4 linked regions of the Styela clava genome follow. The protein of the gene in region 2 purifies or fractionates together with the protein of the main gene of each other region. This does not show direct contact. Links are inferred from orthologs where the notes say so. Each region holds a gene or a part of one and is shown on either strand. Other genes may lie near its edges. The genes, in order: proteasome assembly chaperone 1-like, proteasome subunit beta type-7-like, PSME3-interacting protein-like and F-box only protein 7-like.

The links.
Region 1: the proteins of proteasome subunit beta type-7-like (region 2) and proteasome assembly chaperone 1-like purify together in Homo sapiens (affinity purification with mass spectrometry; 4 studies listed by BioGRID and IntAct, counting the BioPlex papers as one, with this or other methods). This does not show direct contact. The link is inferred for Styela clava from reciprocal best matches to the Homo sapiens genes PSMB7 and PSMG1.
Region 3: the proteins of proteasome subunit beta type-7-like (region 2) and PSME3-interacting protein-like purify together in Homo sapiens (co-immunoprecipitation; 3 studies listed by BioGRID and IntAct, with this or other methods). This does not show direct contact. The link is inferred for Styela clava from reciprocal best matches to the Homo sapiens genes PSMB7 and PSME3IP1.
Region 4: the proteins of proteasome subunit beta type-7-like (region 2) and F-box only protein 7-like purify together in Homo sapiens (affinity purification with mass spectrometry; 3 studies listed by BioGRID and IntAct, counting the BioPlex papers as one, with this or other methods). This does not show direct contact. The link is inferred for Styela clava from reciprocal best matches to the Homo sapiens genes PSMB7 and FBXO7.

Annotation. Positions count from the first base shown.
Region 1 is NC_135259.1:12,683,880-12,692,499, forward strand, and holds the start of proteasome assembly chaperone 1-like, read right to left. Parts: upstream 3,544-8,620; coding exon 3,323-3,543; intron 2,990-3,322; coding exon 2,901-2,989; intron 2,754-2,900; coding exon 2,640-2,753; intron 2,009-2,639; coding exon 1,908-2,008; intron 1,744-1,907; coding exon 1,548-1,743; intron 899-1,547; coding exon 765-898; intron 168-764; coding exon 93-167; 3' UTR 1-92. Other genes in the region: modulator of smoothened protein-like, read right to left, coding at 6,647-7,168. UniProt on the Homo sapiens protein: Chaperone protein which promotes assembly of the 20S proteasome as part of a heterodimer with PSMG2.
Region 2 is NC_135254.1:4,864,425-4,872,715, reverse strand, and holds the start of proteasome subunit beta type-7-like, read left to right. Parts: upstream 1-4,666; 5' UTR 4,667-4,795; coding exon 4,796-4,857; intron 4,858-5,604; coding exon 5,605-5,784; intron 5,785-6,909; coding exon 6,910-7,057; intron 7,058-7,901; coding exon 7,902-8,010; intron 8,011-8,291. Other genes in the region: glia maturation factor beta-like, read left to right, coding at 2,766-3,203. UniProt on the Homo sapiens protein: Component of the 20S core proteasome complex involved in the proteolytic degradation of most intracellular proteins. This complex plays numerous essential roles within the cell by associating with different regulatory particles.
Region 3 is NC_135263.1:8,597,963-8,606,241, forward strand, and holds PSME3-interacting protein-like, read right to left. Parts: upstream 2,879-8,279; 5' UTR 2,351-2,878; coding exon 1,604-2,350; 3' UTR 935-1,603; downstream 1-934. Other genes in the region: dolichol-phosphate mannosyltransferase subunit 1-like, read right to left, coding at 28-138, 521-620, 819-919. UniProt on the Homo sapiens protein: Promotes the association of the proteasome activator complex subunit PSME3 with the 20S proteasome and regulates its activity.
Region 4 is NC_135258.1:7,335,081-7,343,194, forward strand, and holds F-box only protein 7-like, read right to left. Parts: upstream 3,078-8,114; 5' UTR 3,055-3,077; coding exon 1,525-3,054; 3' UTR 856-1,524; downstream 1-855. Other genes in the region: BTB/POZ domain-containing protein 8-like, read right to left, coding at 117-276, 738-802; ATP synthase subunit O, mitochondrial-like, read right to left, coding at 3,553-4,197; erythroid differentiation-related factor 1-like, read left to right, coding at 4,948-5,177, 6,445-6,688, 7,226-7,343. UniProt on the Homo sapiens protein: Substrate recognition component of a SCF (SKP1-CUL1-F-box protein) E3 ubiquitin-protein ligase complex which mediates the ubiquitination and subsequent proteasomal degradation of target proteins and plays a role in several biological processes such as cell cycle, cell proliferation, or maintenance of chromosome stability.

The sequences.
Region 1 (8,620 bases), on a different chromosome or scaffold from region 2:
GTGATATAGATATGATGTCTGTTATCTCCTTTTTGAAGAGTTGTCCATGAGTTGCAACAGGCAAATCAGGTTGCTTTCAATCAGATGTTCCGTCATGTGTACAAACCTACTCCAACATTACTATTTTTGACCGCATTGAATATTTTCTGTTTTACAGATTCCTGATTCTAAATAGATGATGGTAACAATAATTAACTGGAATAAGTCTATGAAGAGGAACAATGATTAAATAGTCCAGTCACTAAAATAGTCCCTTTTTTAGACCCTCATTGCATGGATGTGGTCAAAGACTTCTTGTACAGCAGCAATCTCCAGTAACAAAAATAGTATTGTAATAGCACAGCCCTACACCAGTGGTTTCCAACCTTTTTTTTCAAGGGATCAAAATTTTTTTTTAAATAAATTTGATAAAAACCTGCGGCCTACGGCTATGCTCAAATACTAAAGGGCATGTAGTACTTTCATAGTCGCAAAATTGAAGGACTTATATAAAACAAAGTAAAATTAGTAACTTTTAGGTTTAAAAACAAGCAACCCAGGAAAATCTTCACTTCAGGCGGCTCAATTTTGAGCTGTGAACCATAGGTTGAGAAACACTGCTCTATACTACAGAGTGAAAAAAATCTCTGAAAAAAGTAATGAGAGGCTTCCATGGAGTAATCACCGATGGCCATATATTCACAAAATTCTAGTCTAATCCACAACTACCATGAGTATTTATGTTACAATATCATAAATGAAATTGTGACTAGCCTTATACTTACTACTGATATTTTAAACTGAGGTGTTCCTAGCAGCTCAGTAAAAGCTTGAATTGATAATGAATCTAGTTGATTATTTTCAGTATAACAGATGTAAGCAGTTGCAGGAATATTTTGAAACTGACAGTGGGTGATGACTGTGAAACAAGAAAAGTGCATTAAGTGTAAAAGTGTAATTTTTTGATTACTCTCAGAATGTGACGCGGGCCATAGATAATGAAGCGGCCTGGGTTTGAACCACCCTGGTCTAGGCTAAGATAAGGTAATTATAGATTGATCACTGTGGGAATTTTCATCCTTAATAACCTTACATTGGTTGTGGCTCTGAACTTGACATAATGAATTCTTGGATTTGGAAGGAAATTTCTCAGTTAACGTACTCAATAACGTACCCAACTCTGTACATCAGACTGAAAGATTAATCTGGCATTAATTGATAAAAGCCTATGAAGGCAATATAATCAGACCGGCAACTAACTACTTGACCATTATACCCACAAATTGTATTAATTTTTGTTAGCTTCATTCATAAAGTCTTGAAATCATAGCATTTTACCACAAACAAGTATTCCCTGGGAGCTACAAGAAACGTCAGTTACTGCTAAATACGAGCTAGTAAGTTATCCACGTAACGAGCTATAACCTTCCAAATAATCCTTTCTTCCAAGAGGCTTTTCAGATCTTTGCAAGCTGTGACTTAATATGTATTATTTTTACAACCATGAATGAAAGACAACACGCTTGTGACAGAATCGGGCTTGAATGAACAAAAAAATAAACGCTTACTTGCAGCAGGTATACTTTTCATTAAATTTGGTTGTTCAAGTACAGTAAATACTGGATGATTCTTAGGTTTTGTTGTTGTGGATAGAGATCTTACAAACGGAGTATTAATTGAATTCATGTCTTCACATTTATATTCATGTATCGTGGAAGATGACAAGACGAACACATCTTTTAACGGTTTGACCATATTGAAGAACTGAAATTGATAAAGAGTGATGAAATGTGAGATTAAAATACAACAAAAAATATTGCCAAACAGTTCTGGATTCTCAGTAAAATATTGTCAGATTCTGTAATTCTCAGATTATGTAATGCATATACAAACGAATAAAATTTCAAAAAAACCTAAGAATTAATTACCTTTGCTGTCCATGGCCAAATTTGTTCTGGTGGAATATATGACTTACAGGATACAAAAATATTCCTTTTTTGTTTATTAAATTTTTCATAGATTGTTGACACTGAAATTAAAGTATATTGTATTGTTTTATCTGAAAGTTAAACAATGACAATACTGTTTTAAATATTGAAAACTATCAAAATTTAAAACATCAAAACCAATGTTGGATGCAGACACCCCCTTGAGACGAAACAGACCATCCCTTGGGATGATCATCATTTCCTCGACTGAATCAGTCAGATAATTAAATTAGATACTTTGAAGTAGTAGCGCATTAATTAGATGCAGTTATGGAATCTATATTCATGTTGTTTGGAATACTCCAATTACTGTATTTTATCTCATTTCTGAATATCCAAATCAATGTTTTAAAGATGCAAAATCATGCTATATGCCAAGTTTTCCTGTAAACAATAATTTTATACATTAGAAGTTCCACTGTATCAAATATGATTGTGATCAAGCGAATGCTGAAAGCTGCTCTGTGTGATAATCCTGTGCCAACCACTCTCGAATGGGTGGGAGATAATTATGGCCATATGCTATATGATTGAGCAGTCCTATCGTCTCTCCTCTCCATGGGATAAATATGACCAGATTCATTAAATTGAGACCTCTAGGTGAAGTGATAACATACATTTGCAACAATTTATATCCATCATAAAATTGCAATGTGTTCTTGAGTTACTTACCGATATTAGGTTGTTTTGAGATAGCTTCATAAATACAATCGTCCTCTTTTGAATTTTCAATGATTTCAACTACTTTGTCAGAATTCTGCAGGTCATAATATATTTTGAGAAAACCTAAAGAGAAATGTTAGTTTATATTTCAAAAGGCCTAGTGAATTACATCACAAATTTAACATCGTAAAAGTTTGTACAATAATATTATATTATAAAATATATAAAAACTACGGTAGGTCCGTAAAAAATAAACATGAAATAACTCACTCCATGCGACTTCTCCAGCAGCAATAATAAGATTATCACACTCTAATGCTTTCTGATCATGATCTGCAGACCATTTCAACACCAAGTCTCTAAAATAAAATATCAATAATCAATCACGGGATAACAATTGAAAACATTATATACTGTATGTATCTAGATAATTGTTCCACAATGCCTTTATTTTGATACATTTGTTCTTAATTTAAAACTTTGCCCAGAACATTACAAATCACATTACAAAAACAACTCTATAAAAAGCTATTACACAACCTCATAATTAACAAGTTTTCTTGCAGCGACCAAGAACAATTTTAATGGTAACAAGTCAAAAATTACCGACATTCAGCGATTTATAAGTTGAATCAAGATAAACCAATTTCAGTCTTGATGTTCATTAACATAGAAACAGAAGAATACCAAACCTTGGTTTAGAAGCATTCTCCTCTTCCTCCTCGTCAACAGCTCTTGAAATAACTGGTAATATTTCTCCATGAAAAGTTGCCATTTTGTAACAATAAGTACCGGTATGTAATATCAATACTATTGAAAATACAACGGACGTTGGAAAACATAAAATGCAATCAATGATTATACTGGACATGTGCATACTGCTAGAAGTTACTGTGTCAGGATATTGTGACATCAAACAAAAATATTTTCATTCGAGATAAAGAAATGATGTGAAAAAACATTTTTATGACCTAATACATATTTATGGACAAATCAAGTATTTGAGATGACTTGGAATATGAGCACAGTAAAACAGTAATTAAAACAAAATTCGAACAACAATTCTGTATATTATGCGCATTTAGGGTGCACAAATCTGATTTATTATTATGCAAATAGAATGCATGGCAGAAACATCTACATATTGTAAGATTTAAATAGGGGCACCTTTATTAATCTTATACTGAGATGATGTTGAATATAGACAAGATTTTTCAAACAGAAATAATACAAACACTGCTAGTATATAGGACTACATAAGAAACTGAATATTGTTAAAAAAAATACTGCGAATGTAACTTATGATTTACAATTCGGTGTTAATAATAGAAAAAATAAACAAAAACCTGGTAGTCAATACCAAAACATACAAAGACAATATAAATGTATAAAAGCATAATGATATCAAAATCAGGACATTTAAACTGTATAGAATGGCAGACCTTGAAAAAAACAGTTTAATTAGGCAAGGATAATTGATCAGTCAAGCATGTGATGGTGGATAGGCCTCGTAGGGCGGGGCTTGCCATAGTGTGATACCATCAATAATAAGACAACAAAATAGTCCAATCTTCTTCCAATCGGAGAGAGCCAATGATGAGAGTTGGGAATATATATTTTAGGAGTCCGACAGCATTAAATCATATCAAAAATGTCATAGAAGCAGGGATGGCCAATTCGAATTAAGTATTCGAATATCTCGTCATTCGAATATCGGAATTCACGTTCATAAGAATATCGGATATTTGTGTGACGTCACACATTTTCCACGCCGCTTTCGAGACGTTTCCGTTGAATAAAAACATTCTCGATAGAAACTTGCGCGTGATTGATTTCATCACTCATCAGCGTAACGTGTTATTTAGGCCCGTAAACGCCTTTACGATTGTGTTATTTTCTCTAAAACGAAAATTTTCTACAAATTTGTTCCACGATAACGATAACATTTATTTTATTTTTGTAGGCGCACGGAATTGTGAATCTGGTAAATACGTTCATCGGCGGCGAGTTTCTAAAGACAACGCAACTTTTTGATTGAAAAGCGGCAATTTAAAATACTGAAAATAAAACCGTAAACAATATAAGTTTTATTGAGGCCCGCAAAAATTTAAAAAACGATTTTCTAGGCAGTGAAAATTGCAAAATTTCGTGGGCCTCTGGCACACATTATGTTTGGTCGGCGTTTAGAAACATATCGTCACTAATTGAGGGCGGGATTTGCCTGATTATCCATTACCTCAAATTGCCGTCGAATATTTTCGTGTTAACACGATACAAGGTTTGAAACGCGACTTTTTCCCGGGTTGTGAGGATGTATATAATATAATTAATCTAAAGTATATTCAATCAATTTTATTGTGATGAAATAAATTTTACTCTGAGATATTACAGCATATTTATGGATTTTTCGAACGGTTTTATCTAAAAATAATCAGAGTGGCAGCATTTCGATCGAGCGAAGTCACTGTTAACAAGTACATCTAAATATTTGCCGAATTCGCAAAATACGGATCAAAACAATATTTTATCGGGCAGTTCACCTCGCGTTTTTATTTTTATGACCGCGGATTGCAATGGTATATAATAAGACTGGTGAGGATTTTATTTTGTCGACGCAACCGCAGGTTAAATTGAAGACAATTAAATTAATAAAGCAAGACATTTTAAATATGCCCGTGTCGGTCACGAATTCATCACTTTGCACAACAGAAAAATATATATTCGTTGTTATATTATTTGTTGTAAAAGTCGACTCTTTTAACAGGTGGCATAATCGAGGCGATGAATATGAATTTTTAATTTACTGCTGAACTTTATATGTATATTCATTGTATGAAATGAATTATACTCTACACTTAACAGGATTTTATATAATTATTTAAGATTTTTCTTACGGCGATAACGAGTTGGCAAGATTGCAAAAACACGTATTAAAATTAAATACATCAGGCAGTTTATCTCGTAATTTTAGGTCACAGATCGCCGTGGACCGAATAGTATTGTTTTACTATTACGTTGGACACATTAAATTAATATATAAAGATATTTTAGAATCTCGTAGTTGTCATGGATTGAATATTTTACGTAACAGGATGATCATTATACGCTGAAAAGACGGCTCTTTTAACGAGCGCGTTACAGGCGGCAATGGAAATTTCCGATTTCGAAAATCCTGGCTGCGCGGCTGGCAGTGGTGGTCATCTATTCTCTACTAATTTATTTCTAATTCCAAACACAGCAATATGTTACACATAATAACAATATGTTTCACAAAAATTACTATACAAATATACAAAGGTATTAGAATACTCTAGGCTTAAATATTAGAATTTTTAAAGGCATAATGGATTTTTGATTGTTGTTGCCTGTATTACAAATAAATTTTATTACTCTCAGAAAATATACACAATTATCTGAATACATGTAGTATTTTTGTCAATAGACTTGACTATTATCGTATATCATGGTACCACTGATAAAAAGCGTCAGTCAACTTCTTGGCTATCTTTTCATATGGTCATTTGTACAAATGAATAATTTTAATGAACTGACTGTGTCACAAGTTGCTATTATTTTTTATCGATAGCTATAAACTTTGTGTACATATACTGTTGGTTTGTGGCTTTATTCTGATATTTCTATTGAAGCTTATTTTCTAATTTACTGGGTTTTAATCAACTAAAACAAAAATGTGTTATTTTCGATTTTAGAATGTATTCGGAATTCCAGATTCGAAAACATTATTTTAGAATGTATTCGGAATAGTTTAGTATTCGGAAATGGCCATCCCTGCATAGAAGGTTGCTCACTCAGTTGCTACTCACAGTGCCTTGAGCTTACTTTCATGAAAAAATATGATTGATGAAATTTCATCCACACGGAAATGTAGACAGAAATAGGTGTGGCCATTTGGATCATGTCGCATGATTTAAAATAGACATTTTAGTAAAAATCATTCACATATCACAAACCAAAAAACTAATTTAATTATTTTTTATGACAATTCATGATATTTATCAATTCCGATTCATCATCCATAATCTCATTGGCATCATCAACATGCCCCAACCGGAACATGACAAGATAATGGAAAACACCCAAAGCAATTTATAAGAATCCCCAAGTCTCCATAATTCTGGCAATTTGAAAGCTTCACCTCCAACAGTAACTTGTCGAAACCCAATCGGAAATAACATTCCAACATATGATAAACATCCAATTGCTATAAACGCCATCCATCTTGCATAAATTAGTCTATCACGCTTCCAATGTGAAGATACAACAAGTAAACATGTTATCCCCAAACAGACAATTCCGGCTACTAAAAACAGTCGAGTCCCGAGCCATTCTGGTGGTAAATCTGGAGCAAAACAAGATTGTTTTCTGCCATAAATCGTTTGACATTGCATTGTTAGACCCAACGTAATATCACCAGCCCGTCCACCCGTATTAATCCAATCTGGGTGTCCAAGACTTGCAACAGCAAAAACTTCAGCAGTGACAAATAAAACTCCTGATATTATTGTTAGCTTATCCATTATTGAATACTGGAATAGCTACCTTGAGATTTTTTTTATGAAAAGAAAATATATATATATATATATATGTATAAATATATAATATCAGTATTATACAGATATATAACAAAACTGAATACTTAAAAATATGGGGGTTTAGTGCACCTAATCGCAGAGACACCATAACGACTTTAACGATAACCATAAATAAACGATAAATTTATAAATAAATAAAAATTCTGGCTGTTTTTTCACATCACATTTTTGTTAGCCGTTTTTTTAAGCAGTCGCGACATTTAGTTTCATGTCATATTTTTGTTTGGCATTAGGCTATTTAAGTTATGGCATTTAGCCTACTTCACTAGACTCAAATATGGTGTGACTTGCTAGGTATATTACCGGTATATAATTTATATCTACAATTTTCAGATTTTACGATATTATCTTGCACAGTTGCTAAGCTGTTGGCTGGTCTTTGATTCAATAACTGTAAAAACTTAATTCTACATGTGAACAACTGCTTATGTCTATATGTCCGTACGTGAGAATATGCAGCAATCCAGGATTACAATAAACCATAACGGTACCGCATACACCGTACAGAACAGTACCGGTACCAGAGCGGCATCGGTAGTCTACAGTTACTGATAAGGCAGTAAGGGTAAGCGATAACGTTAACTCCTACCTGTATACTCACTTTGCATACCGCCAGCCGATATTATTGAACGCGTGCTATCGTCAGCGTTTTAATTTTGATTTCACATACAGGTATTATAAGTCCCCTACTGTCAGACTGTATTTTAGGTTGAACATTCAATATCACATTATATAAAAAACATTCAACGATCGTTGATAAAATAAAAACACTGCGCGGCGCCGGGCAAACTCCACAACTGAGCCTTGTACTTCACGGCCATTGAAATGCATGCATGTAGCCTGATTGCTTGGTATTTATTTACGGCCAGAGTCCTTTCAGCTCCGGATTGAAAAATGTCATTTTTTAGTTTCCCATCAATCTCTAAATTTAACAGGACGATGAAGACTTATTATTATCCCATATTAAATAAAGTAAGTGTTCATTTATTTTCAAAAATATGTATTTTTTTGAAATTATGGAGTCCAGTAGTTTTTAACTCCATCTATAGAGGACTTGCACGGGTCACGTGACCTTGTTTACTGGACGGCAATAAAACAAAAACGTCCATTTGGCTCCTGTCAGTTGCAAGTCGGATTATACGTTTCCGTTTTGTTTGGCTGTTGAAAATGGTTATTTCGTATTGTTCCGCTGGCTGTACGTATAGTATAGACAACGAAATGGATCTTCAGTTATATTTCACTGTTTTCAAAAGATACGGAACGTCGCGCAATGTGGATATCATCTATTAGCAGGACTGCTTGGTGTCAAGTCCAGAAGCCATCTCACTTGTGTTTCACTGTTTGCGGACAGCACTTCGTTGATGGTAAGTCATAATG
Region 2 (8,291 bases):
TATTGTTATATCTTGCCACGACTTGGCCAGAACTAGTTCAGCACCAAAGAAATGGTATTGTGACATGCTTGAGTATATATATATATTTTTTTAAATATATAGGTAGCTAACGTACCCGGATGATATTTTCTTTAAATAACTGCACACATTCTATCACTTCACGCTCGTGTTTTTATCTTTTTCTAGCTGTGATGTCCTTATCATACACGCTTGGTCTTATGTTTGAGTGGTGGTATAAGGGTTGTAGATAGTACAATATTGTTCCTGCAAGGTTACTAATTATTGCAACTAGGCGAGCAGTAGAGCTATGTTGGTTTCTCCCCTTCAGATTTTAATTTGCTGTGGGTCATTGTAATTGGATGTGGTTTTTATATCATTTATGTATGCATGCGTTTTATGTTAAGGCATGGTGTTTGAGTTGACTTGTTGGCCAAGGTATAGATAGTAAAATTTTGTGTGTTTTTTGCATGGTGTGATAAATTTTTCTCTGTCCCAAGCAGAATGTCATCATAGATCATCTATCCATCGCTATACAATGACAATACATCCCATTTAATTAAACAATTATTTTTTACCTGTAATAAATAGTTCAGAGCGTTCCCCTTCACCCAATCATTGAAACATCTACTCGCAGTTTTATTTTTTGTTTTTCAGGTTACTTCAAAGTGATTAAATGAAGTAAAACACATAAGAAAAAAAACAAAAAAAGACTCCGATATCCTGTGAAATAACAACCTTATTCCTATATCCTTGTCTGAAATCAATACCCAAGAATGAAAAACCTCACTTACACCCTTTGTAACCAATTTATTTCCACATCCTACTTTACTTAATTATAGTAATTTTAGTGTTACCGGTAACTTTAATTACTTACTACAATCTGGACTATAATTTGGCAATAATAGGCTCTAATTTGGGGAATGAAATGGTCTCGCCCACCTCTTCATGCACCCAATTCTGGCAACTTTGGTTGGGCAACTTGGCATTTGACTCCAACTATAATCAGCTTGGCAATATGTTTTCAATAGAATCTTCCTTTTATATCTTAATTAACGATTAGAAGATCGATCAATTTGGCAATGGCAATCATTACAAAAATATCAATATGGTGTGGCAGAAAATTTTTTTTTTCTTTTCTTGTATTTATTTATTTATTTTTTTTGTTTACTGTATAGTATACCCTAAATTTATCGCGTCTTATTCTTACTTAAATAAATTCTCAGTGGTTGTGTGTGTGTGTGTGTGGCTGGTGGGTGCATGTGAGCGTGTGTGAAATAACTTAATAATTTTAGGTGAGTAAACACGTACCACTTCCTCTCGGCAAAACCTTCCATCTTATATTTTGTACGTCATAAACCTTATCTAAGGTTTTGTTTGCTCCCCTGATTTCATAATCAGTTTTTATTTATTTGTTTTTATCTGTCAAATGTATTGTTATGCTGATTATGGAGTCGAAATATACTTATACTTATACTTATACTTATAATATAATTTTGACTGACTAATTATGTACAGCCCAGAGGCCGCATGTAGACGGTTGGGCCATGGTAACGTTGTTCAAATAGTCCATTATAAACTCAACTAGTACCATATTCTCCCAGACTGGATTCCATAGCAGGTGCACGCACGAGAGCGCTAGCGCTCCGCAAAAATGCTCGCGAGCGAATTCAATTTTGCACGCGGACAATTTGCAATTGCTCACCAATGTAAATCGGTTTAAATGGCTTTAAAATCAATAATCCAGTAATATGAAGATGCCAAAATATTATAACTCCACAATTGTCGACAAATACTAGCTTGCAAGATTTGGTCTAATCGAAAAATTGCGAAGCAAAAAAGACCATATCGTGTTGAATGGTAGGAATCCTGTGAGAATAGTTATGGACGAAAAGATCGCCTTTGCACCAACGCTGGTCAGGTACGGCTCTGATTCAGCGTATTTTTCATGCAATAATTTTACACGAATGTACTGAACAGTACCGGTATCTGAAGTCGCACAAACACTCTCAAAATCATCGACAAATTGTAGAAATAATGTTTGGGGTCAAAGGTCAAACAGCAATTTTTGGTCTGATTCATCGTATTTTTTATGCGATACCAGTAATTTTACGCGGATGTATTGAGAGGTATCTAATGTCAAAGTCAGTTGCACGCGGGCGCAGTTGTCTTGCAGTCGTGACTTATAATTGCACGCCAGGAATTCTTATCTGCACGCGGGAATTTTTGATTGCACGCCCGATTTCTCGTTCAAAAAGGCCATGAAATCCAGACTGGATATTCTCCACTACTGCCACTATCAAGTCAAGGTGTCAAGGCATCTGAAATTAATTATTTGGTATCTAATCCCACACACGACACAGACTGGTAACCAGACGACAGGCCATGCTTGTCTCTATAATCATCGAAATTACACATGACCTGTCACATGACCAAATTGCCGTTTTCGTTCAAAACAAATGCCAGATAGAAAATATTTTCCTTTGGTAATCAGATTATTCTTTTCCAAGGAATTCAATGATGGCGTTTTTAGATTGCGCTTCTTTGTAGTATTTTGCGCAACTTCATTTTACTTTATTTTCATCAATAGTGAGGGTCAACCATGTCCAGATGTCTCCCAAGGGCGGGGTGTTTGTTCATTGGCAAAATTGGATTCTCTAAAACGAGACAATGTTTCTCGATCTGTAAAGTGTGCCGTACTGCATTCAGTAATATGTACCTCAATTTCAACAGCTTTTAGTATTGTAATTAAACAAATAAAAAAGATTATGGCGTCACAAGGCTTACAAACTGAGAATATGTGCTCAATTCAAGAAGATGTTGGAAAACGTTTAAAAGATTTTAAATTTAGCAAAAGCAAGAACGCACGTGCAATAATTTTGAAAGTAAATATGTCTGAAGAAACTGTGGAAATTGAAGATGAACTTGATGACATCACAACTGAAGAACTGATGGAGGAATTACCTGAGCGACAGCCTCGCTATATAATTTATAGCTACGTGCATGAAACGTCTGATGGTCGCGTGATGTACCCACTTTATTTCATTTACTTCAAACCTACTGGCTGTAAACCAGAACAGGTTATGCGTTATGCCGGATGCAGAGACGAGTTATATAACCTCAGCGGAGCTGGAAAAATGCTGAGTCTTGATGAAAAAGAAAATTTAACGGATGAATGGGTACGAGCACAAGGAGGTTTGAAGTGATTGTTACATCATAAACTGTCTTGATTACTCATTTTTATCGGCTTCGGAAAACATTACTCATAGCCGAAATGTATTCATTATTTTCAGTCAGCAGCAATTAGTCATCAGAATATTGTTCAGGCTTTATTAATTCTGAATAAGTTGCCAAATTGATTTTTTATTATTTTAATATTATATTGAGAATATAATCAGTGTAAAACGACATTTAAAATGTACTTAAAAGCAATGATTGCCACGTTCTTTTATATGAAATAAGTAATGTATATCAGAAAATATGTTCTGAGAATAAATTTTTTTAGTGTACTGTTTATTATAATCTATAAGTACAATGATTCATGTTAATTTGAATGAAAAACAGTTTCTGAAAATTCAAGAAATTTTTCCCACTGTTGTAAAAATGCTCTATATTTCGTATTAGCATTCCAGAATATAATTTGCCATATTCATTCTGAGAGACAAAAACGCTGAGACGCTTAGTTGTGATATATACCTGAGTGCAATAATATCAAAAATGTTTTGTATTTCGATTATGTTATTTCTACGTAATGGTTGTTAAATCTTCATGCATATCTATGATGGCCTATTGGTTAGGTCTTGTATGACTATTTTGGTATGGAAAGCTAGAGATTTGTGCTGCAAATCCCCTTATAACCCAAACCATAAGCGTAGCCGGGTGGCTGAGAACCATGGCCCCCATCCAAGAATTTTTAGCATTTCTTTTTTTTTAAACACAATTTTTTGAGACAAAATTATTACGCCTTTTCCAACATCATTTTACGCTATTCTCGAACGATTAACTGAAAACCGACTCTTCCTGGCTTGCTTTGTATACCTTGGATAATTTTGACAGCTAAGCAAGTCTGTAGAGATAATGTTAAATATCAGTGCCTGCTTTTATCTTGCCTTGTTCGAAGCAAAAGGCACAAGTGAGTGTTGTATTATGTCTTTATGCGAAAAATATTGCTCCCCCCCAAATCTTGGGCTTGCTACGCTCTTGTTCTTTGCTGTAACTCTATACAGTTTCATTAGCTCTTGACACTTTATTCTGAATTTTTGTCAAAAAATTTCGATTTTGCTTTAAAAAATTCTTTTAGGAATATTTGAAATTGTAATAAATTGCAAGATACAATCCTGGAATATTGATCTTTCTAAACATGAAACCCTGGGATTGTAAAATTAAATTTAACACAACATTGGCTAACTTTATTCTGTTTTGATTAAAATTCCCAAAATTTTGACTTTGACTTGTATTGAACTGTAGTTATGCCAGTGTGCTAAACACTGAATATTCATGACATGGATAAAAAAAAGCACAACCGGTCGATGTAATTTGTCGAATTTCTATGCATTAAACGTCATGAGGGTATGATATGGAAAAGACGATAGTAAATTTTATTTTATTTGCTAACATCGGTTGTGCCACCTCTGGTGGTAATTACGCAACATTGGTTGCCGGTTGGGCTTTATTAATCCACTTGGTGGCGATTATGTGCCGCCGAATAATCATGCCTGTTATTTTTATCGTATTCTTAATTATGTATCTTCATTATTTAGCCCCACTAGCTTAATTAATAGAAATTACCAGTACAAATATGGCAACAGTCAAGTGCCTCACACGTCCGGAAGGAGGATTTTCATTTGAAAATTACACAAGGTAATTACCGTAATTATCTAGGCCTAAAATGTTTTGGGATTTTGAAAAGAACATTTTGTGATTAATTATCTGGCAGGTATATTGAATGGGGGGAAAACCACTGAATAGAATAAAACAAACCCTTAAGATTCATCGAGAACTGACGTCATAACAAAATCGAAATTGTAAAATGACTTTATGAAATTCAACCTTTTATTGTTTTATGCAGATTTATTTGTTTATATCTCAATATATTTCCTTCACTGAAATTTCCGCCAATGGCATGACCGCATGTGATTTGGGTGTGCTGATATTACATTGTGCAAGACTGCTTCGATAATCCAAAATATGAGTACCGTATCTATCAAAATCCACCTATCAGTCAATAATTTTTGTATATGCCTGTAAAATATAACTACCCTTTATATCACAAATTTACCGTAGTAATTCACTACTGAATATATAAGCATAAGGTTTCTCTTCCACATAGCATAAAGTAAAGATAGTTAGTTTTGCGCTACACCAACTGAAATATTTCTGCTGTAAAATTGAGTAACACACAACTTCTTCAATGGGAGCTCTTGTATTTGTGGCTTTGCCCCGACTTGCTTCTTGTTTTAATTAAACTCTTCTCGTGTATTATTTTGTCACTTTTCTTGTATAATAACTGTCAAAAAGAGGTAAAATAGCCTACAAAGTGAGTTTTCAAACATTTTCTAAAGATCAGTTCTATTTCCAACAAATTTACATAAAACTTTTTTTCCACAGGAACACTTTTCTTGAGAATAAAGGACTTGCTCTGCCTCGAGCGGTGAAAACCGGGACAACTATTTGCGGCCTCGTCTACGCTGATGGAGTAATTCTGGGAGCTGACACTCGGGCCACTGAAGGAAATATCGTTGCAGATAAAAACTGCTCCAAAATTCATTACATTTCACCCAATATTTAGTAGGTTTTTTGCTTTTCCTAATTATTCATTTAAGATGCCTGAACTTTAGTATAGTATCTCAAAATTTTACTTATATGCGTTTAGGAGGATCTACTTTATCTACCTCAGGGCTTCCGAAATTTTTTAGCTTGAGTCCCCTTCTAATGTATTAAAATTATCCACGAACCAAACCCTGTTAAGTCGGCATTGTTACGCAAGCCCTGATCTTATGAGTTAGGGTTTTCCAAAAATTATAGGTCGTGACCCCTTCGATATATTGAAATGTTTTGCGACCCCTGTTCACGTTTGAATAGCTAAACAGTTCGAGATACGCAAGTACGAAATTCTCCTCTGATCCTATGTATTTTCTCGAAATCGTGAAATTTATGTTTTGCACTAGTTATAATAATTGTGTTTGAAATAGAGCTCTGTGGCCCCTCGGTGGAACTACTGCTGGAGAGAGCAGGGCTACTCAACTGGTGGACCGCGGTCCGATTTCAGACCTTCCGAGTGTTTGATTCGGATCGCACCTAATTCTTTATTTTGGATCATTAGCTCTACTTTTTAAGTTTCATTTTATGAAATGACTTTTATAGTTTTGAATATATGTGAAAAGAATTATGACACCATAATGAACAATCTTGATTAGCTAACAATCATTAGCCGGTCGAAGAAATGCGCATTTTAGGATGCCGAAATATAATTTCTGGAAAGACCGGATCCAGATAATTTTAAAGTTTTGTATACAAATCTTCAGTAAAAATAGTTGAGTAGCCCTGCTATAGACCAGGGCTACTCAACTATTTTTACCGAAGATCCTTATACAAAACTTCAAGAATATTTGGGTCCGGACTTTCCAGAAATTATATTTCGGCATCTTCAAACACGCAATTCCTCGGCCGACTAATGATAATTAGCTAATCAAGATTGTTTGTTATGGCGTTATAGTTCTTTTCATATATATTTTTAAATCACTAAAAGTGATTTTATAACGAAAATTTTAAAAGGGGGGCTAATGATTCAAAATGAAGATTTATGCGCGGTCCGAATCGAATACCCGAAAGGTCCGGATTCGGACCGCGGTCGGCCAGTCGAGTAGCCATGCTATAGAGTAAAGCAATACAGAACTGTATATTGTTTTATAGCTGCTGTGGTGCTGGGACAGCTGCCGATACTGAAATGACAACACAGATGATTTCATCGAACCTAGAACTCCACCGACTCGATACTGGACGCGTCACCAGGGTTGCAACGGCAAATAGAATGCTAAAACAATATCTGTTCAGATATCAGGTACATGTCATCAACAATAGAGATACCAAATGGTCACACACATGACAATTTCAAGAAAATTTGCTTAAAATGTGATCAATCGCTCTCGCATCTACTAATAGGACAGGAGGCACATCTCAAAGCACTTTTTACTATTGCCTACTCATATTTATTATACATTGAATAAATAAGTCCTATGTTTTTAAATCACGGATGTGCAACCTGCGGCCTACAAGAAAAAATTGTGCGGCCCGTTGGCCAGATATGGCCTGCACAGAAAAATTGTGTGGCAAATGGAGAAATGTCAATTTTTGATGATGTGCGGCCCATGAAACTTGTTTTTAATTCTGTTTAATCTGGTACGTGCGAGTAGTTTTACATTTTGAGTGGGCCTGGGAGCTTTGTACAAAATATCTGAATAAATTCATACTTTTAAGCACGCTAGTCACAATTCTTATGTCAGTACAGGGAGTCCTCGGGTTACGACGGTAGCGACTTACGCTCGCGCACTCCATAACGCTGTTTCGAGAATACGAACACACTCCATAAAAAATATAAAAAATAATACTGTACTGTACAGTATTTGCTTTTATTCATGTGATATTTATTTGTTTTCTGTTTTTTTAATAAAATAATTCTTTGCATTATTTGTACATTTTATTACAGTACCATACTTTACAATACAGTACGATATGTAGTGGAGTAATTTATGTACTGTACAGTATAATGTTCCGACTTACACTGAAATTCGGGTTACACCGCGTCTCGGGAAGGGAACAACGTCGTAAGTCGAGGACTCCCTGTACATTCCCCTTTCAGAACTTCTTCTTTAAAAACGGTATCACTGACTGTCATTTCTTTACAGGGTTACATCAGTGCTGCTCTTGTACTTGGAGGTGTTGACTACGCAGGGCCCCATCTCTACAGCATACATCCTCATGGGTCAACCGATAAGCTGCCGTATGTTACTATGGGTACGTTGGGATAAAAATAAATCAAGAATTATTTCAATTAGATAAAATATATGCTTTATAGCCGTGTTTTTCAACGTATGGGTTGTGACACAAAACTGGGTCAACTGTAGGTCGCTTGTTTTTGTTTTTTCAACAAAAACCTATAAGTTACTAATTTATATTTTCTAGTAAATTTTATTGTTGATTATATATTTGGCATTACAGTGTTGCTCAATAGTATTTTATGTATGGGAAATATTACTGCGTAAAAACTTGTCAGCATTTATTTTGCTAAGTAAAGC
Region 3 (8,279 bases), on a different chromosome or scaffold from region 2:
TGGCAACTAAAACCATACTCTACTCACGTGATGTGAAAGGTCTGCATCCATTATGAAAATAAAATTGCCTGTTGCATGCTTAATTCCATGAATGTATGCTGTTCCAAGACCCAGTTTCTTTGCTCTTGGGCGCAAAACCTGAATGAATTTATTAGGGCTTTTTATTCAATTTATTAGGGCTTGAACGATTAGAACTTCCAGCCACTGGCTTCTAGATCGCCTGCTCTTGAATGTATGTATGTATCATTTTCACAGTAATCATATAAAATCAAGATGTAAAACTTAAACTTAGCATAATATTTTGCCCAACTTGAAATGCTCAAGAAGTTTCCTTCAAAATTAGAATAAAATGATATTAAATTCGCTTTGTGATCTTTATAGCATGCTTTCAAAACGTAAATATAGAAGTATAAATTTGAATATTGACAAAAATTACAGTATTTTAAATGAAATAATTTGCATGAAATCAGAACATACGATATCAATTTTTATTTATTGAGGTTTTTATAAAATAACATACGATTTTATCTTCTCCGTATATATCCTGCAACTGTTTGGCGACATCTAATGTACCATCTGGACTCCCATCATCAATGATGATAATTTCATGATCACAACCTCTGAAATATTTAACAATCTTTAACTTCGAAATCAATGTGAAAAAAAATGGCTCAGATAACTGGGAGGAAATATTACAGAATCCATATTTTAGATAACCATCTATCAATAGTTTAAAATTCTACTGTTTATTTGCTCATACTTTATATTGGAATAATTGAATATGATAAGATACATATATATTAAAATCGAAAACTCACATTTCTTTGAAATATTTCATCAATAGCCAGATAATTAATGGCAAATTTTCCCTTTCATTATAAGTTGGTAACAAAACTGAATATTTATTTTTTGACCCCATAATTCTTAAATATACCTATTAAGAAAAAACAAAAAGTGCAGATTTATTCATAGAACACAAACACCACAGATTAAACAAGCGTTAGCCTAAAATGCAACATGCCAATAAATGATAATTGTCATCAGGTACAATAATTTTAAAAACTGAGATTTTGTATTCAGGTGACCTCAAATACCTTCATAATTTAATAACATTCATTAAAAAAAGGAAAATATCAGACATGCCAGAGGAAGCGTTTTTTTATAATAATACGGGCATTTCACACAGTCAGTCACACACAGGGAACTATTTTTCAAAGAACCCAGTTTGGTATTGCCTACCCAATTTATTACAATATTTATTCAACCAGATATGCTAGTTAGGTATAACATTCTTGGCCATCTCAGCCAAACATTAAATAAATCGAAGAGAAAATTAAATGTTCATAACTATGGGGTTGTACAGAAATTTGTAAACAACGAAATAGACATGATTGAAATTTTGAACAATGAATTGCAACAAAAGAAGGTGGAGACCCTAACCCTGTGAGTATGTGGGCTAGCGGCATTAACAGAAAATTTCCAAAGTCGTTGACACAACACAGCTGGAAAAATTTTCATTAACTTAGGTACAAGTTAAGAGTTGACATGAAGTAACTAGTACAACTCTATGTGCGAATTTGAAAAAAAAGAGCAAAAAATGAAGTCATCGAGACTTATGAACAATAGAAGATAATAAATTATTTGATACAGAACCAGAATCATCAGAAGAGCTATCACTTTCCGATTCTTCTTCACTTTTATCATCACTATATGCTGCTAAACCAGGTAATACACCAACAAGCTTAGTTGCTGATGGATAAACTATTGTTTGTGTAAGGTTCTTATCAGCATTGTTTGATTCAGTTTCGGATTTTTGAATTTTCTCTGGTGGACATGGGTTTGTCTGCTCTTTATTAGAAGTTTGAGAACTTGGTACTTTTCGTTTTACAGCATTTTTCAATATGCTTTGTTGTGGATTTTTTCTGACAACCTGTGATTTTTTTGGCAACTCTTTTTTGTCCTCCGCTCTTGTTGAAGAATCTATTGGCACATTTGGAAGTTCTCTTGACTGAGCTACGGCAGTTCGAAAGTCTTCAAGTTCTCTTTTTTCTTCATCCCGTTTCTGTTTGTCAAGTTCAAAGTTTCTCTTTGAGACATCAGAAAGAAAATTAGATTCATCTTGATCTATCCCTCGGAATTGATTTTTAAACTTTAATTGTTCTTCAAACTCATCTTGTTTTTTGTCTTTTTGCTCTTGCAATCGTTCAAACAATGATCTGCTGTCATGAACTTCTTCTGGTGCCTCAACAGGGTCTTCAGGTTTTCTTAATTTTTCCCATTCTTCCTGTCGAACTTTCCTCTTTTCTTCCAACTGTTTTTCAGATACAAAGCTTTTAATACCAGAACTCATTGTGAGTCAGCAGATGAAACAGATTAGTGGATTAAATGAATATTGAAATATTTTATCCGGCTAAAAACGTATCATTAACGTTAGTTGATGCGCTCAATTACAGAATGTATCTAAAACCATACGGTAAAATGTTTGCACATAGACCAATAAACATCGGTATTCATTAAACAAATTGAATGAAAAATATGCATTCGTAAGCAGCAATTGCAATAACTGGAAAACAATAGCCTAAATGCAATAGGTCGCACACGGGTCTCGTGTAGTTTCGTACCTAACGTACTTCTAGTAGGCGTAGCATAACAATTTTTTGACATGCCAATCCTAACCCTCGCCTGACTACGCCATCCAAAAATTACGTCACTACGACGTCACAATCACGTCATAGAGCTTGCCAAATACTCGTACGATCGCCCGAAATAGCATCGGCGCCGACGATAAAGAACTGACTGACGTCAGCGACCTCTCTCCTATCGGGATCGTTGCGACGAGAAAACGAGAGAAATGGCTGTTCGATTTGGGATTCTCGTCTTCGCGTCTTGGATGACAGTTCGCATAGTTTGAAGGGCTCTATTACGTCACTGTGACGTCGTAGTGACGTAATTTTTGGATGGCGTAGTCAGGTGAGGGTTAGGATTGGCATGTCAAAAAATTGTTACGCTACGCCTACTAGAAGTACGTTAGGTACGAAACTACACGAGACCCGTGATGAGTGAAGTGAAGAGGATGATATATTATCCTACACTGCTAGAGGCGGTGAGGATGAGATGTTATCGAAAAACATTTTTATCCTACAAACTTTACATATTGCAGCTGGATGATACCATGGTTAACTGAATATTCAGTTAACCATGATGATACGGTACGATCGGTGCCGGTACGATAGTCAATCAGACTGACACTAGTACAGTACAGTAGTATGGTATAGTTCAGGGTGGTCAAAACCCAAGCCCGCGGGCCACATGTGGCCCGCGTCGCATTTGCGAGAGGGTAAACAAAAAGTCGCATTTGGTGTTGTTTCATGATAAAAAAGAACCAGAAAAATCTTTTGACACGTTACATCACTAATTCCACTGAACAATGACATTAAACAACATGATAGGCAACTCTGACGTCACTCCATAAGACTACATGCGAAAGATTGTATTTCATGATACGCTCCAATGCACATATTTCTCGTCGCCTTTCGCGGCCGTTTTCCGCTCGCTTCTGCTACTCGGCGTCTTCTTTACGTGTAGTACCAGCCTTTTTGCGCCTGTAACAAAAGAAAATAATCTCTATATCTAAGAAGTTTTGCTCATTTGGAAAGCTGGAATGGCAGACAAGCTGTAAAGAGTAATTCTGGACATCATAGACGTTTTTTTTTATCATAGAAGATTACAAACGCGATAGCGTGAAGATTTGTGTGGGACATTTTGCAGATAATGACAAAGTTCAAAGTTAGTAATTTTAATGTTTGCGTTTAAACATTGAAATTTCATTTAAAGAGGGTGTCATACAAAACAGTAAAACTGTTTATACTTCTCTTAACGGCGATACAATTCCATAACACAAAGTTTGCACCTATCGAACTTGCTTTAGTTGGTGAATTTATGAGACATATTACATATTTAGTTAATCATAGGTAACATTGCTGGTACATAATGCCTCGTAGATAGGTATGTGTCTAAACTTAGGAATTTCGCTCATAGCCCACTATTTAATATTATCTTCTATGCAGAAGGTTGCAGGGCTGATTTAACTTGCAGCCTTACCGATCACCTGACGATGCTCATTTATTTTGGTTCGAACAAGTCATCTTGAAAGACTTGTGTGAATGGAAACTAACTATATGTTTTGCCTTCCTCCGATTTTAGAAGACAAATTTATTCTGAGGGGTTTCGCATATAATTCTCATTGAACGTTGGCTGTTTACAATTCCTATTAATTGTGAGTACTGATTATAACAGAGAGTTAAAAAAAAATTTACGTAATTTACTGGCACCCTTTTCTTGTCAATACTCCAAGCTGAGGTAATAAACAAGGCAATACATTTATGTCATCTGGAAGCAAAATATGCACACTTATTAAAAGTTTGACACATTGAGATAATACACCATGACAGAAAATACAAGTTAAAGATATGTATGACCATCACATGATAATTAAAATTAAAAAAAAATTAATAGGGGCTGTGGAGTATGAAAAGTTCAAGACAAAGAAAAGAACAAAAGTTCATAGAATTTTGCCTCCATTGCTTTGTGAAGGCCAATATATTCCGAGTTGCTGAATTGGTTTACCTTTATGATAGCAACGATTTTGTAATTAATATAGCGAGATTTTTTTTCAATTCAATTGAAGTGATATTATTTCCCAAAGCAATGCTTTAATCGTCTAGACTCTAGAATAGATGGGTGGTGTCAAACTCATGGGTTTTCGAGAGCCGCATTGCATGTTGGAAATTGTAAAAAGGGCCGCAAACAGTTTTTGATAATGTCTACTTAAAAGATATTTTCAAGATAGTTTTAGTTTGTGACATATATTGGGATGCAACTAAACAGTTGGATTAAGTTTTATTATTTTCTTTAATTTCAAACGCAATTACATATTAATATTTGCATTCCACTATTATTGCACTGTATTTATTACAAAAAATCATAAAATTATATGTACAGCCATCAAAATCATTTTTGAACAAGCTTTGGATAAGGAAAGAATAATACATACACTAAAAAAAATGACTTAATCTAAATATATGGACCTAAAATTAACAAAAATACTACAGTATAAACTCAATGTTTTTTTAATTACATTTGTCCTGACGTTTGGCATCTTTTTTGTGTCACCAGCATACTAAGGCCAGGCTGATATGATTTTGTATTACCAACTCTAACTAACGAGGTCACATGATCATGGGTTAATCTGGATCTTTGCGAATGTTTAATTAATTCCAGTAATGCAAAAAAGTTACTTTTATCATACCATGTATAGATCAGTAAAAAAAAACAAATGACAGATTTTTTCGACAAGACATTTCGTGCCACATTGCGTGGCATAGGATTGCTTGCATTATCATCGATATTGATTTTTAGTAACTAAGTCGTTGTATAATTATATTAATATAAAAACACATGGAAATTTTCTGTTCGGAGTTGGTCATCGAATTTGTCATATTGACTGCTGAGCTTATTGTGTTTTTTCATTGTATTGATGTAAATATGACAAATTAAACAGTGTGCTTCAGAATTTTGTGAAATGCAGAAATATTGCAATTCCCATTTTCTTTGAAAATGCTACCTTCTTCATGTACTTTGCGTTTAATTTAATCACTCAAGTGTTTTATTCAAGTATTCTTTTATTCTCAATTGGATCAAAATGTGAACAAAAAAAAATTAATTTTCCAAAACTACTTTCAGTAAATTGTTTTCTGTGTGAATAATCAATTTCACTTTAAAAGGTTTGAAAAATCTATTACATTTAGATAAAAAACCCTTCCAAAATACTATAACAATTATTGTTAGGCGTTCGAAGGCCGCACTGGAAGTTCTCTGGGGCCGCGAGTTTGACATCCCTGGTCTAGATTGAAGTTGTCCAAAATATATAACAGTATTTTATCATGAATCTATATCATATCTATATTACTACCAAAAGTTCTTCTATTGCAAACATTAATGGAGTACTTCAATTATATTTCTTGGAATTACACTGTCACTGATATGTCGCCAGACTTCTGATATCTCCCCTTCTGCTACAGTTGTCCTGTGAATAAATAATAGGAAATTGAGGTTAGACGAATAGTTGAAAGTTTTGCTTTATGTCGGATTAATTTCTTGATTGATATACATACTATTTCTGCTATTGCCTCTTGTGCTGCAGGAGTCTCACAATGCTTAGACAGGTTTTTCCACAACTTTCCCATCTGAAGAAAGAGAGGAGATTTATTAATTTTCGTTAAGAATAAATAAAGCAGTCTATATGATTTAGAGTGGAAAAACTAATAAATCTAATATCCCATGTCTATGTAAAATATGTTTTACTGAATTTGGTATATAAACCAACTAATAAAAGGGTTTAGTCAGAAAATTACAAGCATTCTTATACTTGAAATACTTGAGAGATCAGACTGTACAATATAGACCGGTATGAGTAAAATGTTAGGTGAACTTAACCCTTTGATTCAATACGCAAATAAAAGTTAATGAGCAATAGTAGGTTACAGCAATGAGTATATATCCTCACTGATTACAAAAAATCTAAATGGAGGTGCATGAACTATTTGAAACCATAAGGGGTAAGAAAATATGCAATTTCGGCAAATGGACAACTACGTACCGTACTGAATTAATAACTTCGTAGTATTTGACAAAAGCTGGCTTTCCCACATGTACTTAACAGTGCGATGCCCGGGTGTGATATACAACAATAGTATTTACCTTACCTTTTTCCAATTTCTTTCTACCTCAACTTTACAAAATATCATTAAAATCGACAACAACTGTCAAAGCAGGCACGAACACCATTCGTGCTATTCCTTGAAAGCAGCACACATCCGCTCGTTGTCGTCTCGTCAAGTATGTGCAGTGGAGCGTGCTATCGGATACGATCTTCGGCTAAAAATGGCGGAGTTGCGCATCATGTTGTTTAATGTCATTGCACTGAATTGACTAGTGTTTTGTCTAGTTGAGGCAACTAGCAAAGTTGAAAGATGTGTAGGCTGTCGAAATATTTATCTGGCTGTTCATCTTTTTGGTTGGGAATATATGCTAACAAAAGAGGCTTCATAGAAAACTGAAAATCGAATGAGGAATCTATTAGCCTAGGTTGGCTATGCCTGATAACTAAATATTAATGTTATGGCCGAACAATACAATTCCCGCCGGGTGTTTTTTTTTTGTAACCAGCCTAAACAGTATTACAAAAAATGCTGCCTATATGTCAGAAAATTGAGTAATTACCCTCCTGTATCTCAAATTAGTAATCAATCAATTTGCAGTTACGTGTAAGTTATTTTGTAAACATGAATTTAAAAATAAAGCTGACCAATTTAAACATATTTTTGACTGGGTGTGGGAGCGAAAATACCACAATGCTTGCTTGATATGTCTGCAAGTTGTGTCGGTGACAATTTAACACGGCAGTTTCTCTTTTTGATACTTTCTCCGTTATGAAAAGATTGAAAATATAGTAGGATTTTTGCACGTTTTAGTGAGTTTTTTTTGTGGTTTTTGCATGCTTTAGCTTAAAAAAAGTTAAATAATGATCAATGTATTTGACAATAAAAGTGTTTGTTTTGCACTGTTAACATATTCTTGGCACTATTGTGGCCCGCGAACAATACAAAAATAATAGTGTGGCCCGCGAGGTCGACAACCTTGAACCAACCTGGTATAGTTCATGAAAGGTTTTGATCTACTTCCTACTTCCACATTGTTGATAATAACTAAATGTATCAATAGAATATTCATTGAGCTAGTAATACACAGCCTTTCACGCTGTCGACGTTTAAAAATATAATGAAGCAGTCACATTGATCAAGGAGCTTCGAGCATAATAAGTTAGTCGCCATTTGATCGTCTCATCATACTCAACAACGTAGCTAAAAAAGTAAAATTACAGTCCAGCCATGGCAAGACTTACATTCACGTATTTGAGAATCTCTTGGAATTTTATGTCTCGATCAAATTTTTTACCCAATACATTTAAATTTTAAACCATAAGACGTCATAGATAGACAAACGCTGACACACAATCACATAAAAATGTTGAAAAAAAATCACTCACTTGGTGAGAGAAACCGGGGAGGGCCCGCGAACTATTCGATTTTTTTTCAAAATACTGACTTGGCTTGGATTTTGTAACTGTCCACCCGTTGACAAAAAAAAATTCTGCGGATAACAAGTTTTCTGTTGCGTAAAATATTCAATCCATGGTCGATGCTAGCATTTATAATATC
Region 4 (8,114 bases), on a different chromosome or scaffold from region 2:
AAGAAGCAGTTCCATGAAGAATGCCAAAATTGTATAACAGTTTTAAAAATTATAAACTATAGGTACCTCCCATGTGTTTGCTGAACATTAATTTTGGTATATATCCCAATGCCTACCTTCAGTACAATATCAGATGCTTGTGGATGGAAAAATTCATTCAACAGCTTTTGTCCAAGATCACATGATGGTGATGGAAGATCGGAATCTAACAAAAGCTTCGACTGAAGGAGATTTGGTGAGAGTGAACCTGTCATCTCCGTGAGATTATCAGAAAAGCTGTAATGGAAAGGAATCCACTGAATGTCTTATGAATTCTGAACTGATATTTCCTGATGTCCATTGTATATAGTCAAATTTCGTGCTTTTTAATAAGATTGAATTTTGAAATCCTCAAGATAGTCATTTCAGTCATGAGCTGAGCTCATTTCCTAGTCTGAACTTGTACTAGAATTTTTGCACATGCCACATCAAATTGGAATGCTGATAATCTAAATTTTTACGCTATTCAGACAATCACAGTTTTAGATGGAAACTCGAGCCTTCTCGAACTAAGTGAGATGAAATTTTTATATACCTGAAGCCAGTGCTGGGGCTAGCAAACTGTTCAGCTCAAAGTGGAGATACGAATTCGCTGTAATAACTCTTTGGACATGAATTGTAACCTTAATTAGCTTTTAACACAAATGATTGGTTGCTCAACACACAAAGCACTCTAACCCAATTCATATGCTACCTACCTTTTTACATCTTTTTCTAACGTTCGAGCGAGGTTCTTAGATAATTTAGTTTTAGTCAAATCCATCTTCAAAGATCTGGTGATAACATTCCAATTTCAAACACAGAATGAAAAGTCAATCTATTTACAAAACATTAAAGAATATTTATTGCTCAAATCTTATGTTAACGTAAAATTAAATAAAGAAACTGAAGTTTTATATCACAAAAATTTCAAATTAAATCAGCACAAAAAAGAAGATCGGCGAGTTATCACAAAAGACCACAATCAACATTTATCAGTAACTAAAAAATATATTTCAACGAAATTATTGCCTGAATATAGACGATTCATCAAAATCTAGTAAGATTGAGCTTATTTTCAAAACAAGTTGCCTACCAAGTAAAGTTAAAATGATCGTAACCTAAAATGTTAATGTTAAGCTATTCTGGCAATCTAAAGGTTTAGATAAAAATTGTGAAAACTTCACAGCTAACAATCTGTAATTGAATTTACCACTTTTGCAGTTATTTTTACTACGATTCACAAACATTCTAGGTCATTTAGGAAACGTTACAAGCTTAGAAAACAGCTTACTATTTGATACAATTGACACAAACGGGGCCATGTGATGGAAATGTTCCTATTTGCATTTATCCTGTAATTATACAGATGCCTACAGAATGTTGCATGAAATGAATTTGTTATATCATCTCAATTATTGCTGTAAACACACAGATTTGAAAAAAAATCACACGTAGCAGGGAGAAGAGTGTAAAGTAACAATAACATGGGAATTTAAAGTTAATTTACATGAACCCATATCTCTGGTCATGTCGTGACCTTCTTTGGCGACCTTGAAAAGGCATCGTTGGAGCCCCAAACCCTTCAAAATCAGCGTCCATCATTCCACCACCCCTTCCAGGTCTGAAACCTCCACCAGGAAATATGGGGTCATATCGTGAACCAGGAAGAGGATTATCTGGATGCATTGGGTGATTGGGTCGTGATGGGGGTAAGCGTCTGGGTGGGGTTGCAAATGGTCCATAAGGAAAAGTTGGATGCAAGTCATGTTCACCACCTATCATTCCAAATGGTTGCTGATCAGGAAATGGAACAGGTTGACCAGGAATTGGGGTCGGAAATTGGGGCCAGGGGTCAGTTTGATAATCACGATAATAGCGCTCCATGTCTTGTTTACGTTCCTTTTCTCTAACGAAACGCTTAGAATATGTTTTTTTCCAAGAATTTTCAACACTAATGGGATGGGATTTGAAATCCTTTATATACAAGTTTCTCCATAGATTTTCATCATTGGTTATGTCCTGTAATGCTTTGTTTACTTGGGATAAAGATATCAAGCTTTTACAGTCTAGCTGTGAAAATATTAGTTGTAAAATTTCAGGAAATAACGACAAAAGTCCATGAACTGGTGGGAGTTGCAACTCTTCTCTCATGTTATTCAACGCAGGATGAGCGATCGTTTCTTTAACTTGTCGATTCAATTTTGATAAATTCTTGTAGACAGCGGCAGCATTAGAATTCTTAGTGGAGGCTGTGAAACTTTGAATATAGTCTTTCGTCGTTATTTGAAGAGTTAGGACTTGTTCGTTGGTATTGCGACACGGTTGCGCAACTCCATTAACAAGAACGAATGAACCAAGCTGATTGCAAGTGAAATTGAATTTCAAATCTGGGCCTGCTGCATGACTGTATTCTACTGCGAATATTCGAGATTGTAAATGGGGTAATATGTCACTATGCTCGGTCATTCCTTCAATATAAAATCCACTCTCACACATCATAAAATGCAAAGCGATACAAAGCGCTTGAAATTCATTTTTAATAAAATCATCTTCATAAAGTTTTTGCACTAAGTGTGGAACATCAGATGAACCATTACAGTCTCTGAAAAATATGGGACCAGGTGATGAACAAGGTATATATTCTGTAGTTTCTGTTTCAGTAACTGTTGATGGACCAGGTTGATCTTGCTCAAAGGTTTCTGAAGCCACGGACATTTCAGACATCACAGGAGTAACCGAGGATGTGTTTTCTTCCACAGAAGTTTGTGAAATTCCCATAACCAATGCATTATCACCAAGCAAGACCTTGATGAGATCCCCAGATACAATTCCTGCTGATTTTAAATTACTTTCTCCTTCTCCTGCACATGTTTTACCATCCAAACTAATGTGAAAACTAGCATCAATATTTATTCCCCATTCTCCAAACGCAGTTTCTCTTATTGCTGACTTCAAAGTTTCAAATGTAGGTTGCGGTTCATCTTCAATAGTTATTATTTTCGTCTTTTTCTCGAATCTTACTCTTAGCTTCATTGTTATTTCATGTTGTCAAAACTTATGTTTTTAACCTATATTTTACCTAATATCTATCTAAATTTAAACACAAGATACAGGGATCAAATTCAATATCAATTCAAAACAGGTCCAAGAAATGCAGAAATGTATGGGAACATATTCAATCACATAGAAAAGTGGCAGAAAACCAATATCAATGCAGAAATTGACAATCATTGTAAAATACAGTCGAAACAGTATATTAAATAGGCATGAAACTTAGAAGCAATGAACTAAATTGAGAATTTTTTTGATACGTAAATTATTAAATATTTCATGCACTATAAAATATAAATTCTAGGTTGTTGGGTGCATGAGACAGAAGCCAAATTAAATACAAACATGGAATTGATAATATGATATTTCTTATCCCGTAGCATATTTGAAAAGCGATACATTAAAAGATATATCACATTAAAAATCCAGTATACTCTATAAACAAACGTCCTAAAGAAGCAGATGAGTTGAAATGCTAAATTAAACATTTTGTCTGATTAAATCTGAATACAAGGCAACTTTACTAGCTGTGGACATATCAACATATTTCATATCTGTATATTTATCGCCAATATCAACAATAATGCCACCAAGAATTGTAGGATCAACTTTTGTCGTCAGCATCAATTTTTCATTCGGTTTCAAGAATTTGGTTAATGCTGCTTCCAGATTTTTTCGTTGCTTAACATCCATCTCTGTTGCCGTGGTAACTGTTGCTGGAACTTCTCCCCTTTCTGCACTCATGATTCGAGCGTATACTTCAGCAGTTTCTCCCACAAGATTGAGACGTCTGTTGTCAGCTAATACTCCGAAGAAATTGACAACAGTGGATGTCATTTTGACTTTACTAGCAACTTCTTTCAGGAGGCCTAACTTGTTTGATGTTTCAACAAATGGATCATGCATGTAATCAGCGACTTTCTGATTCTTCAAAATCTCCTGCAATGTGGTTAAATCCTGCGCGACCTCTGATTTTGCTTTAGCTTTGGAAGCAGCTGAATATAATGCGTGTGCGTAAGTTCCGGATATTCCAAACACAGGAATTGGCGTTTTCACCAAATCTTGGCGAAGAGCCGAAGACGTGCTGAGCCTTCTACAAACCAATTTCGTAATATTCGCAGCCATGTTTATAACTAAAACGAAACGAAACGGACCAACCAACAAGTGAAGAAAACGCGTCTACAAAGTTACAAGGTAGGTAGTACACACACCTCTGTGCAAGGTCGACCGATTGAATTTTACTTGCCAGAATTAATCTATAAAAATATACAATATGATTATAGAAACAAGTTATTTTGAATACTTAATATATAAAAAGATTATATTATGAATGTATTGCTTGAAACCAACAAAATTAATCAATTTCAACATAAGGAAACATTTTGTGCTTTCAATTTTTTTTGCTTTCACAGGTGAATCTGGCATGAGTATTTGACTGTTCTGATGATATCTCAACGTCGCCCACTGGCGATCAGGGTTCTGCAAATTTTATGACGCATAGAGGCAGTAGAGGTTCTACGTACAAATATTGTTGCCAGATTTAATAATGTTAAATCACTCAGTAACATTTATTATCGAAAAAATATGAGTAATTTCATGTGGACAGTATAAAAATGATTTGAGAACAAATTCAATATACATGTTAGTTTTGTTCTTTAAAATATAATTTGAAAAGTAACGAGGTGATGTCTTTGTTGTTTCAAATTACGAAAAGAAATGGCAAGTGACATTGCCGAAGAATTGCATTTTCCGGAATAGAATTCTTAACATTCTAATAATTTTCAAGTTCCTGTATAGTCTGACTTTCGTTTTATAGAAAGTTTAGATGATTGTTGACACATAGAAGCGCATTGTCGCTTACAGTACATCTATAACATGGAACCTCCGCCTGATTGTTCGTCTCATTACATCAAAAATGATGAATATTTTCCACCAATTACCCATTCATCGTCATCCAAGCGGAATGAAAATGGCAATGGATGTACAAACGGGGATTTCCTTGATATATCGGCGAAAACTGGACATTTTGGATTTACAAAAACGGATGTTTCCCAACCATCTACAAGCAAAACACTGGACAAAATAGAAGGAAATCCCTCTGTTAGGTTAGCTCATGCTTTTGATTCTGTAAATTACTGAATTGTGGAAAAACCGCCAGCTATTTTAATCTTTATTTTTTTTTAAGTGTGTGTTCTTGTGCTTGGATTAATTTTAAAGCATCGTATCCCCAAAGCAAGAAAAGACGTAGGGTGGCTTACCCACTTTGAGGCCACGACCTATTTGCGGCCATCAACTTCATCGATCTAATTAAGGCTGAAAAAATTAACGAACCGCGACGATATTTCTCATGCGGTATCGTCCACTTGTTCCTCATAGTTCTGCGAAATTACACTAAAATGCGGCCACAAACAAAAAAGTTACGATTGAAAACTCGACTGAAGAAAAATAAAGGACCTTTTTTCATGTCGCCAACTACCCATTGTCCCATTAAAATACTTGAAAATCCATACAAATAGGTCTATAAGAAATAAAAAGATGAAATTTGGCAAGGGGGTAGAGTTGTATTTCTTTTAACCATCTTTAAATTTTTGCGCTTCTACATTTAAAGGAGGGGGAATAGGAGGGTGCGATTTCCAATACGTCGATAATATCTTTGTTGACCAATTTGCAACCACCGTGTTTTTGTCTGTTTGATTGCTGTGATGCGGTGCTTTGTATATAATTTGACGAGTTTTGTTCGAAATGACCGTGTTCTTAAAATATATGACGGCCAGAAATGCAATTAGTAGTCCAATTTTTTCACGCATGGCTGCGTATGCTCTAGCATCGACGCAGCAGAAACAATGTTCATGGCTTGAAATCCGTGATCGCACACTGGTCGTTCGGTCGCAAATACATCTTCTGAGTGTCGTACCTTGGTAGTTTGTATAGCTTTAACCCCTGATCGTAGAAAGTTTATTCGAGGTTTAGCGTGTAGAATAAATGCCAATGCACCTACGGTTAAAAAAATTAACGGGTTAGCAGACTGGCTACACCACCCACCAAAACTCATAAACGAATTTTAAGGCGAGGTTGAATGAATATTACAAAATTTCATCGACTAAAAATACTAAACTCTCGAAGTAGTCTTAATTAATAATAACTTAACTTTGAAAGCTCCCTAATAATTGATCAAAGATCTCCAGGAAAGCACTGCACTAAGCTTTGCGGGAAATTATACAATTTACTACATTCTGCGTGGGGTGGAATTTAAACTCAAGATTATATTTAATCATCTACTCTGATATAGTCGGTTAACTCTAAATACAATGCATTATTTTTTTAAATGTAATGTCATAAGCAAGTTCATAAAATAATTCATAACATTTGCAGGTCATCAGCCATCATAGCATATTCAGCAACAAAAAACAATGCAATGTTCTCCCATCTCGCTCCAGAAACAAACTTGAATCTGGCACCTTCAAACTGGCTTCGAAAAACGGTCGGACTTCGCCCAGAGACTGTGTTGCCAGGTGGCAGATATTCAAGTAATCCAAATCGTTCGTTCAGTGGATTCAGTATGGCGAGTGGCCACCTTGATAGTGTCGGCAAAGTAGATGTTGTGTCAGATGCAGAGGTTTGTGTTATGTTCACATTATATATAATCGTTCTTGAAGTAAATAGAACTTTTTAAACCATATTATTATATAAATTATATCATTCTGTCTAAAATTAGTTTCATCTGCATCGACATATCAATTGCATTGCAATTCGAGTGCTACAATTGCTGGTTTTGTAACGAACTTTCACATACTCATCTTACAAACATTAAATTCAATAAGTTCTTTGAGTTCTGTATGTTTTATGTGAGTGAATAATTGTAACCTTGTTTTAATCAATCTTTCATGTGCAATGTTTCAAGCCCTTGTATGTGAATTTTTAGAATATAGAATATGTCACATAGCACAAATGTGAAACATGTCTTTTTGAACACCTTCAGTTCCTGATGCTCAACCCCGTCCTACTGTACTTGAGAAAGATACGAGTTTTTCTGAAAATATTAGCTCATGACATATTAGTGTCTATTTGTCCAGAACCCCGTTAGTAATGAAGGTATGAACCCTATCTTGAAAACTGCTGAGAATTATAACTAACTTGTATTTCTCTTTTTCAGAATATCAAGAAATTGCTGAAGATGCCGTATAACAAGGCCCATGTAAGCATGGCAATACACAGGATTGGTAGAACCTTGTTATTAGAAAACTTTGATATAAAAAGATTCACTGCTGAGGGTGAGACTTGTATGATTGTATATATAATAAAGTCTTGAAATTTTTTTAAAATAGCGAAGGGAATTTATCGAACCCATATGTCGTTTTGGCCCTCACAGATGTATTAATAAATGAGGTAAAAATACTCAAACAATTATTGATTAAATAACAACGAACCTGGTTAGTAAGATATATTGGGAACTGACTTCATAACAAAATGGAAATTGTAAAGGGACTTTACGGACCTTTATATAGTAGTAAATAGTGAATACCTCATATTCAACAAGTATTGTTTTAATCTGCAATTGAATGTGATCATCTAAAGTTTGACATCTTATTTTGAATGTAATGTATCAATTGTTTCTTACCAGCAAAGCATAATACGAGAATATCGGTCTGAGACCGAAGACTTATGAATTGAAAGTTAGGGGATCCCCCAAAACAGCACTCTTACTCCATAATGACACCTTGTGTCCCATCACTAATTATTAATAACTCGCTAATTATACGACATAATTCATCCAAAATCAATAGGCTTCTGGTACGACATATGATGAATGCACATGCAAAATCTGGAGCAGATTCAATCTCCCTTTCGCGTGCATCTAACAGACAAACAGACAGACAAACACCTATCAACATACTTACCGATTAAAATCGACAAGTAATAATCCAGGAGTGTGCAAGTGCAATACAAGAGAGCTAGTTATAAATAACTTGGTGAAACTGCGGGCGGCACCTTTATTTAGGATGAGTGTCATTCAAAATTGGCACCTCTTAGCAGGCTGTATA